2 linked regions of the Elephas maximus indicus genome follow. The protein of the gene in region 1 purifies or fractionates together with the protein of each later gene. This does not show direct contact. Links are inferred from orthologs where the notes say so. Each region holds a gene or a part of one and is shown in the gene's direction. Other genes may lie near its edges.

Evidence for each region.
Region 2: the proteins of BTK (region 1) and ANKRD54 purify together in Homo sapiens (affinity purification with mass spectrometry; 4 studies listed by BioGRID and IntAct, counting the BioPlex papers as one, with this or other methods). This does not show direct contact. The link is inferred for Elephas maximus indicus from reciprocal best matches to the Homo sapiens genes BTK and ANKRD54.

What each region holds. Positions count from the first base shown.
Region 1 is NC_064846.1:56,724,567-56,731,585, forward strand, and holds the start of BTK (tyrosine-protein kinase BTK), read left to right. Parts: upstream 1-3,974; 5' UTR 3,975-4,118; intron 4,119-7,019. UniProt on the Homo sapiens protein: Non-receptor tyrosine kinase indispensable for B lymphocyte development, differentiation and signaling. Binding of antigen to the B-cell antigen receptor (BCR) triggers signaling that ultimately leads to B-cell activation.
Region 2 is NC_064822.1:181,735,796-181,743,348, reverse strand, and holds the start of ANKRD54 (ankyrin repeat domain-containing protein 54), read left to right. Parts: upstream 1-4,471; 5' UTR 4,472-4,596; coding exon 4,597-4,921; intron 4,922-6,223; coding exon 6,224-6,271; intron 6,272-7,553. UniProt on the Homo sapiens protein: Plays an important role in regulating intracellular signaling events associated with erythroid terminal differentiation.

The sequences.
Region 1 (7,019 bases):
GGTTAAGAGAGACAGCTGCTCACCAAAAGGTCGGCAGTTCGAATCCACCAGCTGCTCCTTGGAAACCTATGGGGCAGTTCTATTTTGTCAAATAGGGTCACTATGAGTCGAAACCAACTACATGGCAATGGGGTTGTTGTTTTTTTGTTTTGTTTTGTTCTTTGGTATATGCCAGGCCGGGTACTAACCATTTAAAATGGATTATTATATAATTCTCACAGTAGTTCTAGGAGGTAGGTGGTATTATTATTTACCCATATGGAAATTGAGGCTGTAGGATGTTCAACAATTTGCCCAATGTCGACAGTATTTAATGGATCCAGGATACAAACCCAGGTAATCTGACTTCAGAGTATGGGTCCCTTTACCATTATACAGTAATAGTTATAACAGCTAATAGTTTACTGACATTTTCAACTGTTTGACACGCATGGGAAAGCTTGATAATGAATAAGGAAGACTGAAGAAGACTTGATTCCTTTGAATTATGGTGTTGGTGAAGAATACTGAATATACCACAGACTGTCAGAAGAAAGAACAAGTCTGTCTCGGAAGAAGTACAGCCAGAATGCTACTTAGAAGCCAGGATGGCGAGACTTCGTCTCACATACTTTGAATATGTTATCGGGAGACCCCAGTCCCTGGAGAAGGGTATCATGCTTGGTAAAGTAGAGGGTCAGTGAAAAAGAGGAAGACCCTCAACGAGATGGATTGACACAGAGGCTGCATCAATAGGCTCAAACATAGCAACTATTGTGAGGATGGCGCAGGACTGGGCAGTGTTTCATTCTGTTGTACATAGGGTCGCTGTGAGTCGGAACCGACTAGACGGCACCTAACAACCAAAACAAGATGAGGCTCTCAAAACTGAACACATAATTCTAAATGTGCCTTGACCATGCAGTAAGTAGCACATTGACTTTTCTGTGTACGTATTTTACGTCTCCAAGTGAAGCCTATTGTCACCTTGGCTTTCTGGCAGCCACGTCACTGGCTTGACATTTCACTTGATTACTAGTAGCAAAAACCCCTGAGCCATATTCACAAGTGTTACTGATACCCCACTTTCACCTGGAATCTTTGAGGTTTAATGTTGGGCCCAATTATGGGACATAACCCTTAGCCCTGGTAAGATACATTTTACTGGATTTGGCTTATCACTACAGGTGATGAAGATCATTTTGAAAACTAATTATTCTGATTCCACCATCCAGTCTAGCTCACACGGCTCTGCACAATGGACAAATTAGCTAGGCTACTTTCTATATCTTCATTTCTGTATCTTCTATACCTTCCTAAAGGTCATCAATAGAAATGTTGAACAGGGCAACACCAAGAATAGAACCTTATATTACATTGGGAATCTTTTGAGGTGACACTAGGCCATTCATTTGCATTATTTGGGTACAGTCGTTGTTCTGTCAGTACAGACAAGTGTGTTAGGGGAGCAGCTGTGGGGCAGAAGGCGAGGAACAGCCTGAAATTTACATTCCCCTTTCTCCTGTCCTCCACTCCCTTGTCTAGATCTCCCATCTTATATCTATCAACTCCCAGTCCCCACCCAAAAATGGACCTTGAGAAGGGACAGGGCATGTGACAGTAAGCAGCATCTGACTAAAGAAAAAGGGAGGGAAGGAGGACGAATTTCTTTGGCCAGTTCACAGGCTGGCAACTGGAGCAGCTGTTCAGGGGTGACTAGTGAAAGGATATAAGTTATCAATAAAATAGGGAGATCATGCAACACTTGTACCAAAACCAAAAAAAACCCCACTGCTGTCAAGTTGATTCTGATTCATAGCGACCCTACAGGACAGAGTAGAACTGCCCCATAGAGTTTCCAAGGAGTAGCTGGCGGCTTTGAACTGCCAACCTCTAGGTTAGCAGCCATAATGCTTAACCACTACACCACCAGGGTTTCTTATCTACTTTGTGCAGATGTGTGAATTAACTACTCTAACATCCTACAAATGCCATTTTTTAAAGCCCTATTGATTTAAAGGGTGTAGTACTAGAATTCTCACTTTCTATTCAGACCTCAGTTCGATTCCCAGACAATGCACCTCAAGTGCAGGCACCACCTGACTGTCTCTGGAGGCTTGAGTGTATGATGCTAAAAAAAAAGGTTTCAATGGCGTTTCCAGACTAAGATGAACTAGGAAGAAAGGCATGGTGATCTACTTCAAAGTGTATTCAACGAAAACCCTATGGATCACAATGGTCTGATCTGCAATGTAGCAAGTGGATGGTGAGGGCCCAGGCAACATTTCACTTCATTGTGTCAGGGACTAACTCCATGGCAACTAACAACAATATTGATTTACAAATTCTGCCAGGCTTATAATGGGATCTGGGATCTGTTTCTACATTAGGGTATGGTGCTGTCTTAGTCATCTAGTGCTGCTATAACAGAAATACCACAAGTGGGTGTCTTTAACAAACAGAAATTTATTTTCTCACAGTTTAGTAGGCTAGAAGTCCAAATTCAGGGCGCTGGCTCTAGGGAAAGGCTTTCTGTCTGTGTTAGCTCTAGGGCCCTGGGGGAAGGTCCTTATCTCTTTTCAGCTTCTGTTCCTTGGCTCCTTGGTGATTTTCATGTGGCATGGCATCTATCTTCCCCCATCTGTGCTTGCTTGTTTCCTTGGTTAATCTGCTCTTCTTATATCTCAAAAGAGATTGATTTAAGACACACCCTACACTAAAACTTCCTTATTAACATAACAAAGAAAACTCATTTCCCAAATGGGATTATAAGCATAAAGTTTATAACATACGTATATTTTGGGGGACACAAGTCAATCCATAACAGGTGCTTAACCAGTAAACTAGTTGCTGTCAAGTCAATTCTGACTCATGGCACCCCCATGTATGTCAGAGTAGAACTGTGCTCCATAGGGTTTTCAATGGCTGTGACTTTTTGGAAGTAGGCCACGAGGCCCCTTTCTTCTGAGGCACCTCAGGGTGGATTTGAACTGCCGACTTTGGTTAGTAGCTGAGCACTTAACCATTTGCGCCACCCAAGGGACTCCTATTTCTACATTAGTGTACAGTGCTTAGGAACAAGTAGATATGAGAGTACCAGATGTGTCAAGGTAGGAAAGCAGGTCAGTCACCAGGGCCTCTGCTGCCATCACTATCTGCAGCCAATAGTGGCTGTATTTCCAAGGAGAATCCTAGGGGAGACTATTGCAGTTGAAACAGGCTAGGAGGCCGTTTAGAAAACATCTAGGCTTCAAGTTGTGCACCCAGTCTGGTTTATCACTTCATAGGATTAAAGGGCAAAGTGTAAATTAAGAGTTAATTCCTGAGGCCAAATCTTAAATGGAGAAAATCAACATTCACAGGAAATGGGAACGGGCACAGGGCACAAGCCCTTGTTAGGGCTTACATTCTGACTCTTTTATCTATAGAAAAAAAATGCTTTCTTAGAAAATGACTCAGCAGGGGGAAGTCTTGTCTCCACCTCTGTCAGGCTCTGTACTTTGGGGTCCCTGTGTGAGCACTCTCCATCCTTCACCATCAACTCTACCTGTGTGGCCCCAAGTCTCCTCCACCTCAGAGGACATGAGCCTCAAAAGACACTCTTCCTCGGCATTCCCTTCCTCCTGTCTCAGCCAGTCTGTGCAGTTCTCCTCTTTCCTATATGTCTCCACTCCCTGTGCTAACCATCCCCACAGTCCTTCCGGCATGTCGTCCCTTTACCTTGGGGGAGCTCGGCCTGCCCACCCATCTGCTCCACCCAGCCCCTTCTAGAGTCTCAATGGCCACAGTCATGTTAAGGAGGGTTCTTTCAGAGCAGGAAGCATGATAATCACGTTGGAGTTTCCAAGCAAATGAAGGGCGGAGACGGCTGCGGGGGGGGGGGGGGGGTGGAACAGGGACAGCAGCAGGGAACCAGATACCATGCTGCTAAGAAGAAAAAAAAGACATTGGTTTAAGTCAGGAAACAAAAAAAGGGAACTGAGTGGCTGTGAAAGGGTGGGGTTTGCTCAGACTGTCCTTCCTCTCTGGACTGTAAGAATATGTCTCCAGGGCCAGTGTCTTCTGAGATCGAGTCCCACCTTCAAAGTCCCGGCATCTCAATGCATCTGGGAAGCTACCTGCTTTAAGTCAGGACTGAGGTGGGTCTGGGGCATGGCAGGGGCTGGGAAGCAGCAGCAGTAGCAAGTACCTTTCTGGGGGCCCTTGAAGGCCAAAGAGAAAGCAGGGCTGGTGCCATAGAGTCGGCTGGCGGAGGAGGCTGCTGGGCTGGGGGGTAGTATCTTCAGCACAAGGTCTTGGCAGTCCCTTCTGGTGATCAGAAGGGGCTTTAGGGGTCTTTTTTAAGGAGGGATATGGTGGGGAGGGGCACAAAGAGAAAAAGGTAACAAGAGATGACCGTCTGAACAGGTATCCAGTGTTGGAAAGGGGCGCCTCTGCAAAACTTGGCGGAAAAATAACACCGCAGGTGCCAGTGGGATAAAAATAAGCCCTTTGGTCAAATAGTGCTTGAAGACTCAAAATGTAGATTTGTGTCAGCGAAGCCCTTAGAAGAAGTTTTATGAGGCAGATTCTCTGAGAAAACTGTCAAAGTTCACATGCCACAATAGGCAGTTGACCTTCGTGAGCGGGGGAAAAGCTAACTACGTAGAGCTGCATCAGGCCAAACCGGGGCCTGGGACCGGAGCTGGCTTGTTGGAGGGACTGTGTGGAGGCTGAGCCAACCTCGTGGTAATAGGGGGTAAGAGACTTGGCCAGAAGAAGGCAGCCTTAGCCTCAGCCCAGACACTGTGTGGCCAAACCCTGAGGTCGTGGTGAAGCTTTCTCCTATTACTACTGCCTACCATGTGCATGGCCTTCTTTTCTCTGGTCTTCATTATTTCCCTCCTCATCTTCCACCTTCTTCTCTTCCTCCTCCTTTCTCTACCTATCTCCCCTCTTTTTTATACCCTCCTGTATTTTGTTCATTCCTATATCCCCTGGCACAAAGTCAGCACTTAATAAATGATGCATTGGATTTTTCTTGCCCTTTCCTTCCCCTACTCTTTTCCCTTTACCCTATTTGCCTAGTACCTTCCTCATAGGGTTGTTGCGGGGATTCAAAGTGTTAATATATGTAAAGCAGTTAAAATAGGACCTAGTACATAGCAAGTGCTATCTCTCAGTGTTGGCTATTATTTTTATTCCACCTGAGATCTGCCAGTGTCCTCAGAGGGCTCTGCTTAGAGCGAATGAAATGACATTTAGAATATAAGAGATTGCTGACCCTGTTGAAAACGTTCTTGGATGAGTTGCTGGACCTCCAGCTGGAATCCCAGTGCGATTTCTCAGCCACCAATTCTCCAAGCTGGAAGTCTCTAGTCGGTGCTGTGCGTTTCCAGAGGCAGGGCAGCAGCAACATCCTGATGTTGGGAGTCTGCACAGCTCAGAGGCTGTCCTCTGTGCTCTTAGTTGTGTATTAGTTCTGCTCCTTGACTCATTTTGCATGCCAAGCCCCTGAAGCAAGGGTGCTATGCCCTCTCCGAAGCTTCAGTTATTTGATAAAACAATGTCACCCTCCAAATAAGCCACAAAATGCAAATGCTCATGGAAACCTAAAGCCGCCAGAAACGGCACCCCTTAGGGCTAGCCCTATATGCTCTATTCTGACCCCTTTTATCATCACACTAAACTAGCTGCTTATTTTAAAGTTCAAACTCATGTTGCTTATAGCTATTGATGTTTTGGTTTAGAATCCTTTGTAAATTCTTCATGGTGAGAACTGGTGTAACTTTCTACCCACTTCTAGGATATTGATGACAATCTTAAATTACCATCACTATGATTTATTATTTCCATTCTGGCAAGTTTCCTATAAGAGTTTCCTTTCAGTGGACTAGACCCATACCAGGAAGTGATTTAGGTATAAGGGTAAGATCCAAAAACCAAACCTGCAGCTGTCGAGTTGATTCATAAGGGGAAGATATGGCTTATGAAAACCCAGGTATGGATGTTCTCCAAAAAGTCCTCAGGTACCTGCCACTTTTCCCCAATGATACTCAGATCTGATTGGCAACTCCTGGGAATAAGAGTGAGCTAGAATTTTCAGTGAGTCAGTGCTCAACAAGAAGCTACAGAAGAAACCTTGACCTATTTTCCCCTGAAGCTGCTTGGTTATGCAAATGAAGCCAAGGGAGGGGGAAAGAGAACTCCTCTGAGGACCCTGAAACAATTGGGCCACATGTGACTTTCAGTTTCTATGGAGATTTAAGTGCAGTGGCTGAGTGTGTTCAGAGAGCTTTGGGAAGCTGGAAACCTTAATATGCCGGGTTTAGGCTGGCTCTCTGAAAGCCATCACTAGATGGCTGTTAGGCTACTGTTGGTTATTTGAACCTCAATGAGAAGCTCATCTTACTGGCCTGCCTCCCTGAAATGAAAATAAACTGCATTTTATTAGCTCACCCCAGAAGAAAATTTTAGAGAGCCAAGAGAAGTAAATTTGAGACAAGTTAGAGGTTGGAACGTACTGGAGTCCAAGATCACTGCCTCAATGGAAATAATAGATTAGTCTGCAAAACACTGAAGTGTGAACAAAAATAGGGAAATGAATTGGTTAGACATGGAGCATAAAGGAGTTGAGAGTGCAGGGGTAAGGGGACTCTCAAAAACTGCTATTTGTTGTGGAAATTGGTACAATGTTCCAGGAAACCATTTTGACAATATGTAACAAAATGAAAAAATACACGTACTTTTTTGACTCAGTAAATGATGCTTATAAAAGGATAAAATACGACCAAACCCGTTGCCATCGACTCATGGCAACGCCATGTGTTACAGAGTAGAACTGAGCTCCGCAGGGTTTTCTTGGCTGTAATCTTTACAGAAGCAGATTGCCAGGCCTTTCTTCTACTGTGCTTCTGGGTGGGTTCAAACTGTCAACCTTTCAGTTAGTAGCTGAGTGCAAACCATTTGTGCCATCCAGACACTTCAATGATGCTTATAGAGAAATCCCAATAACATGGGGAAATAATCAGGAATAACGTTAAACATGATAAAATGGCACA
Region 2 (7,553 bases), on another chromosome or scaffold:
GTCCCACCCAGTCATTTGCTAGGAGTTACAAGGCTGTGGTGAGAAAGGCCACATAAAATCGATCCATCACACCACAGCAAATCTCATTGGCTCTACCTTCACAAACACTCCCAGATTCTTCCTTTCCCCATCTTGGTCTCTGTTATCCCTGCCCAAGCCACCATCATCTCGCGTATATTATTGTAATAGCCTCCTCTCTCTTTCTTCCACTCTCAATCCATATTTGTAGAATTGCATTTGAATTGGAACCTATTCCATTTCTTGGCAGCACATTAAGCCTGCTCAGAAAAGGATCTTTGATCTAAAAGTGAATTGAACACCAACATAGACTATGAGATGTCTGAGCACAGGGTGTTTGATTTTGCAAAGCTTGCTTGTTGATAAAAAAGCAGTACGTGAAAGGGAAAGAAACTGTGAACAGACCAAAGCTCCTGGAATGATTTTACCTAGGAGAATTGCTGACAGAATTTGGCTGCTGAAAAGCTGCCGTATTTTCTCTTGATCTTCTTTTGCCTGGGGTTTGAAGCAGGAAATTCTCTGCCTCAGGATAGCCATGTCTTACAGTTGGCCTGGGCTCTTCTGCTGTATTCATTTCAAGCCCCACATCCCATTGCACCCTGGGGGTTGATATGTATTTCACTTACTATCCCGTTTGTTCCACTCCCCTGGGCGTGGTCTCAGGACTCCTTTCCACCTATGGCAATAGCACGTGGGCCCTGGGAGAGCAGTAGCTGTTCTGCACAAATCAGAGCTAGAAGCATTCTTAGCATTTGGTATGAGGGTCACAAAGCAAAATCTAAACGGGGGCTGCTAGATATAACAAATGAGTGAAGTTTCCTGACCACATCTTAAGTTGGATCCTTTCTTTCATCATAGACATTTAAGACTGTTGTTTTTGTACACAAATGTTCACTCATTTTCCTGAAAACACAGAGCCCTCTCTCTATAGCCTAAAACAATAATTCTTATATTGTTAAAAATATAATTCTTATGTTCTATATCTTGACTGGGATGGTGGTTACATGAGTGTATACATTTGTCGAAAATCATCAACCTGTACAACCTGATTATCTGTCCAGTTGAGAAGATGACCCCAAAGGTTACAGTTTTATTGCCCTGTGGGATGTGAACTGGTTTGAATCTAACTTAGCGATCATATTTCAGCATTCCTTTGACATAAGCTATAAGCAAATTTTTTTCAAACCAGTTCTGTCTCGCCATCCTAACTTCGAAGGAGCACTCTGGCTATACTTCTTCCAAGACAGACTTGTTCATTCTTCTGGCAGTCCATGCTATATTCAATATTCTTTGCCAACACCATAATTCAAAAGCATCAATTCTTCTTCAGTCTTCTTTATTCATTGTCCAGCTTTCTCATGCATATGAGGCAATTGAAAAGGCCATGGCTTGGGTCAGGCACACATTAGTCTGCAAGGTGACATCTTTACTTTTTAACACTTTAAAGAGATTTCTTGCAGATTTGCCCAATGTAATGCCTCTTTTGATTTCTTGACTGCTGCTCCCGTGGGTGTTGATTGTGGATCCAAGTAAAATAAAATCCTTGACAACGTCAATATTTTCTTCATTTATGATGATGTTGCCTACTGGTCCAGTTGTGAAGATTTTTGTTTTCTTTATGTTGAGGTGTAATCCATACTTAAGGCTGTGGTCTTTGATCTTCATCAGTAAGTGCTTCAAGTCTTCACTTCCAGCAAGCAAGATGGTGTCATTGTATAATTCAGGTTGTTAATGAGTCTTCCTCCAATCCTGATGCCCTGTCCTTCTTCATATAGTTCAGCTTCTTGGATTATATGCTCAGCATATAATGTTGATCAATACTTTTGGTATAATGACTCTGTTTATTCCTTCTATGTTCTTTTGGTGCTTCTTGGGTTGTTCAATATTTTGCCAATACAATCCTTCAAAATTGTAACTTTAGGCTTGAATTTTTTCTTCTGTTCTCACAGCTTGAGAAATGCTGAGCATGTTCTTATCCTTTTAGTTTTCTAACTCCAGGTCTTTGGGCATTTCATTTCAATACTTTACTTTGTCTTCTCAAGCCGCCCTTTGAAATCTTCTGCTCAGGTTTTTACTTCATCATTCCTTCCTTTCGCTTTAGCTATTCTACCTTCAAGAGCAAGTTGCAGAGTCTCTTCTGACATCCATTTTGGCCTTTTCTTTCCTATCTTTTTAATGACTTTTGCTTCCTTCATGTAAGATGTTCTTGATATGATCTCAAAGCCTCGATTTTGTAAAAAATTTATTTATTGTGCTTTAGGTGAAAATTTACAAATCAAGTCAGTCTCTCATACAAAAAGTCATACACACCCTGCTGTGCACTCCCAGTTGCTCCGTCCTTAAGTCCTTAATGAGACAGCACATTCCTCCTCTCCACCTTGTATTTGCTATGTCTGTTCAACAAGCTCCTGTATCCTTCTTCCTTCTCATGTCGCCACCAGACAGGAGTTGCCAGCATAGTCTCACATGACTACTTGAGCCACGAAGTTCACTCCTCACCAGCATCATTGTCTATCTAATAGTCCAGGCCAATCCCTGTCTGCAGAGTTGGTTTTGGGAATGGTTCCAATCTTGGGTCAAAGCCTCAACTTCCTGACCTAAAAGTTAAGATCTTGGCTGCTAACAAAGATGTCAGCAGTTTGAATCCACCAGCCGCTCCTTGGAAACCCTATGGGGCAGTTATACTCTGTGCTGTAGTGTCGCTATCTGTTGGAATCGACTTGTCGGCAATGGTTTTTTTTTTTTTAAGTGGGTATAATAATGCTTATCTGCTAATGCTGTGGTGAGGGAGAACTAAACGATATATATAAAGACCTTGGTACACGGTTGTTGTTGTTAACTGCCATTGAGTAGACCTCCGGCTCATGGAGACCCCCTGCACAATGTGATTGGTAAATCGTACACATTCAACAATGTGTGGTTCTTTCTTCTGTTCACTCTAACTACAAGTGCCGTTGGTGTATGTCCTTATCAGGGATGGGGAAGAGGTAGAGGAGGAGAGCTTAAACACAAACAGTATTTTTCTCCATGCAGTTAGCGGGTAGTACAATGACAGTCTTCATAATTGTTTTTTTCAGGCACTGCAAAACGTAGAAGTGCTTTTTCAACACTCAGACAAACATTTTAACTGGTGCAATGGAGTGGGAAGAGCCCTTGACTGGAACATAAGTCATGGGCATTGTCCCATAAAGCCTGGGCATCAGTTTAAGCTTCTTCTTTTTTTTAATGTATAAAATAGTGATAGTCCTCCTTACCGACCTTAGAGAAATATTTGCGGGGTACAGGGATGTGAGAATTCTTTCAAAACAGTGCATCTATGAGAAGTTAGTAAGTTTGTATTAACTAGCCAGACATTTTCTTTTTTCTGGGTCTGACTTCTCACCGGGGGAACGTGAGCATCTCAGTGGAACTGAGTCTGACCCTGTGTCCTGGGCGTTCCGGATCGGGCACAGAGAGATGTCTGGCTCAGTGACAGAATCCTGACTGAAGTGCCCTCTGGTGTTTGTTGTTGTCAGGTGCCCTCAAGTCGACTGACTCAAAGCGAAAGTGTAGAACTGCCCCAGAGGGTTTTCTAGGCTATAATGTTTACAGGAGCAGATCGCCAGGTCTTTCTGCCGTGGACCCACTGTGTGGGTTGGAACCGGCAACCTTTCAGTTAGCAGCAGAGCGCATAACTGTTAATTAAGAGATCTATCTCATTTAGGAGCTATTACCCTCCTATTAGGCAGCCGCGGTGACGCAATGGTTAAGTGTTCTGCGGCTAACCAAAAGGTGGGTGGCTTGAACCCATCAGACGCTCCAGGGAAGACTGCTTTCTTAAAGATTAAAACCCATTGTGGTGGGGGTGATTCCGACTCACAGCGACCCTACAGAATAGAGCAGAGCTGCGCCATAGGGCCGTACATATTTACGGCAGCAGACTATCATATCTTTCTCCCACATCTTCCTCCCGAGGAGCGGCTGGTGGATTCGAATCACTGGCCTTTTGGTTAGCCCTAAAGATTACAGCCTTGGAAACCCTATGGGACATTAGTCTTTTGGCTAAGTTGTTTTATTTATTTTTAAAGTTTATTGATTCAAAAAAATATTATACAGTATATATATTTTTGGCTTCTTCACTTTCTTTTCAGAGCGGCTCAGGTAACCTTAATGTGATTGGCTAAAGCACCTGCCCGTTATCTTTCCCATGATCCGACGGGGAAATTGGGAAAAAAAGTGTCTTAAACTCAGCTGTTTTATTGGCTCCGGTAGGGACGCACGGCAAAGACCGTGGGCACTTCTAATTTGTGATTAGTTTTTATGTCCGCCAGTCATGCTGCCGAAATTTCTGTCCAATCCTCTTACGCGTACTATGACCTACTTGCCGGATTGGCTGGAGGGGTTTACGCTGGAAAGCTTTTCATTGGCCCCAAACTCCCCGGCTCCCGGCCCAAGCCCGCCCCCTGCTCGGTTGCCGTGGTTGCAGGCCCGGCCCTGCCCGCTCGCTCGCTGACAGCGAGAGTTAGGGCGGAGGGAAGTGGGTCCGTCGGTCGGCCGGGAACGAGGCTCCGCCAGCTAGGCCCGCGCGGAATCGTTGCCATGGCAGCCGCTGCCGGGGGCGCGGACGATGAGCCGCGTTCCGGCCGCTCGAGCTCTGATGGCGAGTGCGCGGTGGCGCCGGAGCCGCTGACGGGCCCCGAGGGCCTCTTCTCCTTCGCCAGCTTGGGGGCCGCGCTGGGCAGCGGCACGGACCTCCCCGGTCGGGCGTCCGACGGAGCCCAGTCCCCGCTGCGCTACCTCCACGTCTTGTGGCAGCAGGACGCCGAGCCCCGCGACGAGCTGCGTTGCAAGATCCCCTCCGGCCGGCTGCGGCGCGCCGCCAGGCCTCACCGCCGGCTCGGGCCCACGGGCAAAGAGGTGCATGGTGAGGCGCGGGAGCGGTCGGCGGGCGCGGAGGGAGGCGGGCCGGCCGCGTGCGGCTCGGAGCCGGGGAGCCTGGGGCCAGGCTGCCGCCCTGCTGGGCCCCGTCATGGAGCCCCGGGCCCCGGACTTGTCCCCAGACCCCGAGCTAGGGGCCCAGGGTGACGCTGGAGTCTCCTTTCGATAATAATAATTATTATAGCAGCTAAGGGCCACGAATAAAAACAAAAAACACACCAAACAAAAAACTCCCTTCTCAGAACCAGTCACTCCTGACTTCTCACACTTGGCAATTCTCGAATAGAAACTTCATGACTCAGGGTGTTCCACTGAGTCGATTCCAACTCATAGTGATCCCGTGTGACAGTAAAGTTGCCCGGTAGGATTTCCTGGCTGTGATTTTAGGGGAGCAGATTGCCAGACCTGTCTCCCACGGCGTTGGTGGGTGGGTTCAAACCACCAGCCTTTAGGTCAGCAGTCCATGGCTTGACCATTTCCACCACCAGGTCTCCTTTGGTGTTTATTTGTTGTTGTGTGCCACGGAGTCTTCTAAAACTCCTGCTGTGATATATGTCTACCATAATATCTTTTATAGTTTATGGATGACATGGAAACTGAGGCCCTGAAGGATTAGGAATGGGAGTTTTAAGAGTCCCTTCTAGCACCTTAGGGGCGTTGTGAAGATTAAATGAGTATTTGAAAGTGCCGTATAAACCATAAAGTTTATATGACTGTCAGTAATTGTTACGTATCTTAGTTGCAGTTTTTGCCCATTTCTCTGCTGACAAAGGCATTTTTTTCTGTTTGCCTCTAATATACAGATCACTGGAGGGGAAAAATGTTTCTGCTTAGGAATTACCAAGTTTAGGTAAATCATTTGGGAATGGCCTATCTTGAAGGAGAGTATAATGAGATAATCTGTGTAACCAGCTCACAAAGAGCTTCTATGTAAATCATCTCATTCATTCTTGGAACAACTCAGGGCTGGCAGGACAGAGCTTAACTTTGTTTTGCAGATGATGGACCTGAGGACCAAAGAGGTCAACTGACATACTCAAGGTCACTCAGCCACTACAAGTGGCAGGGCCCCAGATACAGAGGCCTTGGGGAATTTGCTACAGAATGTAGCCTTTTCATTAATTGCGCTGCACTTTGTATTTCTCTTTGTTCCCAGGGTAGTATCTCTCAGATGCTGGCATCTTTCTCTCCCTCTCTGTGGCTGACGACTGGGTTAACTAGAAAACCATCCACTTTCAGGTTCATCATGGCCGTTTTTTTTAAACTGACACTCTTACTTTCTTTACAGCTCTGAAGAGGCTGAGGGACTCGGCCAACGCTAACGACGTGGAAACAGGTGAGTGTGCACAGTGGGTCTAGCTCCAGGGACCCGAGGGCTGGCTGAGGGAGGAATAGTCTAGGTACCTGGGAAGAAGTTGTTTTAATTCAGCCTGCCAGCTCATCCCTGGGACCAGGCTCTCTTACTTATTGTGTAACTTTGCAGTAATCCTGTGGGAGGTAAGTCTGGCTTCAATGCTCGCCCTCCCTACGCTCTTCTGCCAACCGGAACGTCCTAATGTCATAGCATTTATCACCCTAAGGGCTCCCTGATCCTGGGGACTCTGTCTGCTTTTGTATACCTGACACCCAGCAAAGTCCTCAGTAAAGAGTAGGTGCTCATTTTGCAATCTCTGGGTCATGGGAGTGAACACTCAACTTTAACTGCCAGGGGATCACCATGCTGATGCCACCCCCTTCAGCTGCTCACTGAGGCTTTGTGGTAGTTGGGTCAGTGGCTCTCAAACTTGTTTAGTTGACAGAGCACCTGAAAGGCATGGATGGCCTCCTAGCTGGATGTCACTCTGTCTATTTTTTGTTGTTACTCCCCAGGGTTCTCTAACTGAGAGAGTAATAGCAGCATCAAAGTTGCCAGGAAAATTTATAGGAAACATTTTTAAATTTTATCCACTTAATCCTTTCTGTGAATCAAGGAAAAGTAGTACGTTAGCTTTCAGTGGCTTCTCTAACAAATTACCACAGATGTAGTGCTTTGAAATAGCACAAATTTTTTATCTTACAGTTCCATGAATCAGAAGTCCAACATAGGACTCACCAGGCTAAAATCAGGGTGCCGGCAGAGATGCATTCCTTTCTGGAAGCTTTAAGAGGATAATCTGTTTCCTTGCCTTTTCCAACTTCTGGAGGCCACCGATGTCCCTTGGCTCATGTTCCCCTTCCTTTGTGTTCAGAGCCGGCAATGGTGGGTCAGGTCCTTCCCATGCTGCCATGTCTCTGATTCTTGCAGCAGGGAAAGGGTCTCTGATTTTAAGAACTCATGTGATTCGTTGGGTCTACTTGGATAATCCCGGATAATCTTCCCATCTCAAGGTTCTTAACCTTGGTGACATCTGGAAGGTCGTTTTTACCATGTACAGTAACATATTCACATGTTTCAGGGATTAGAGTGTGGACATCTTTGGGTGCCATTATTCTGCCTAGCACTAGTGGTAGAATGACATCTTGGTGGTGGGATCCTGTGGTCAGCAGCTGAAATGTGAGCATAGATGAAGGGCTGAGGGTTAGGAGAGCCCACGTACACCGGGCATGGAGAGGCGGCCGACTTCCTCAGGGAGCTGGGG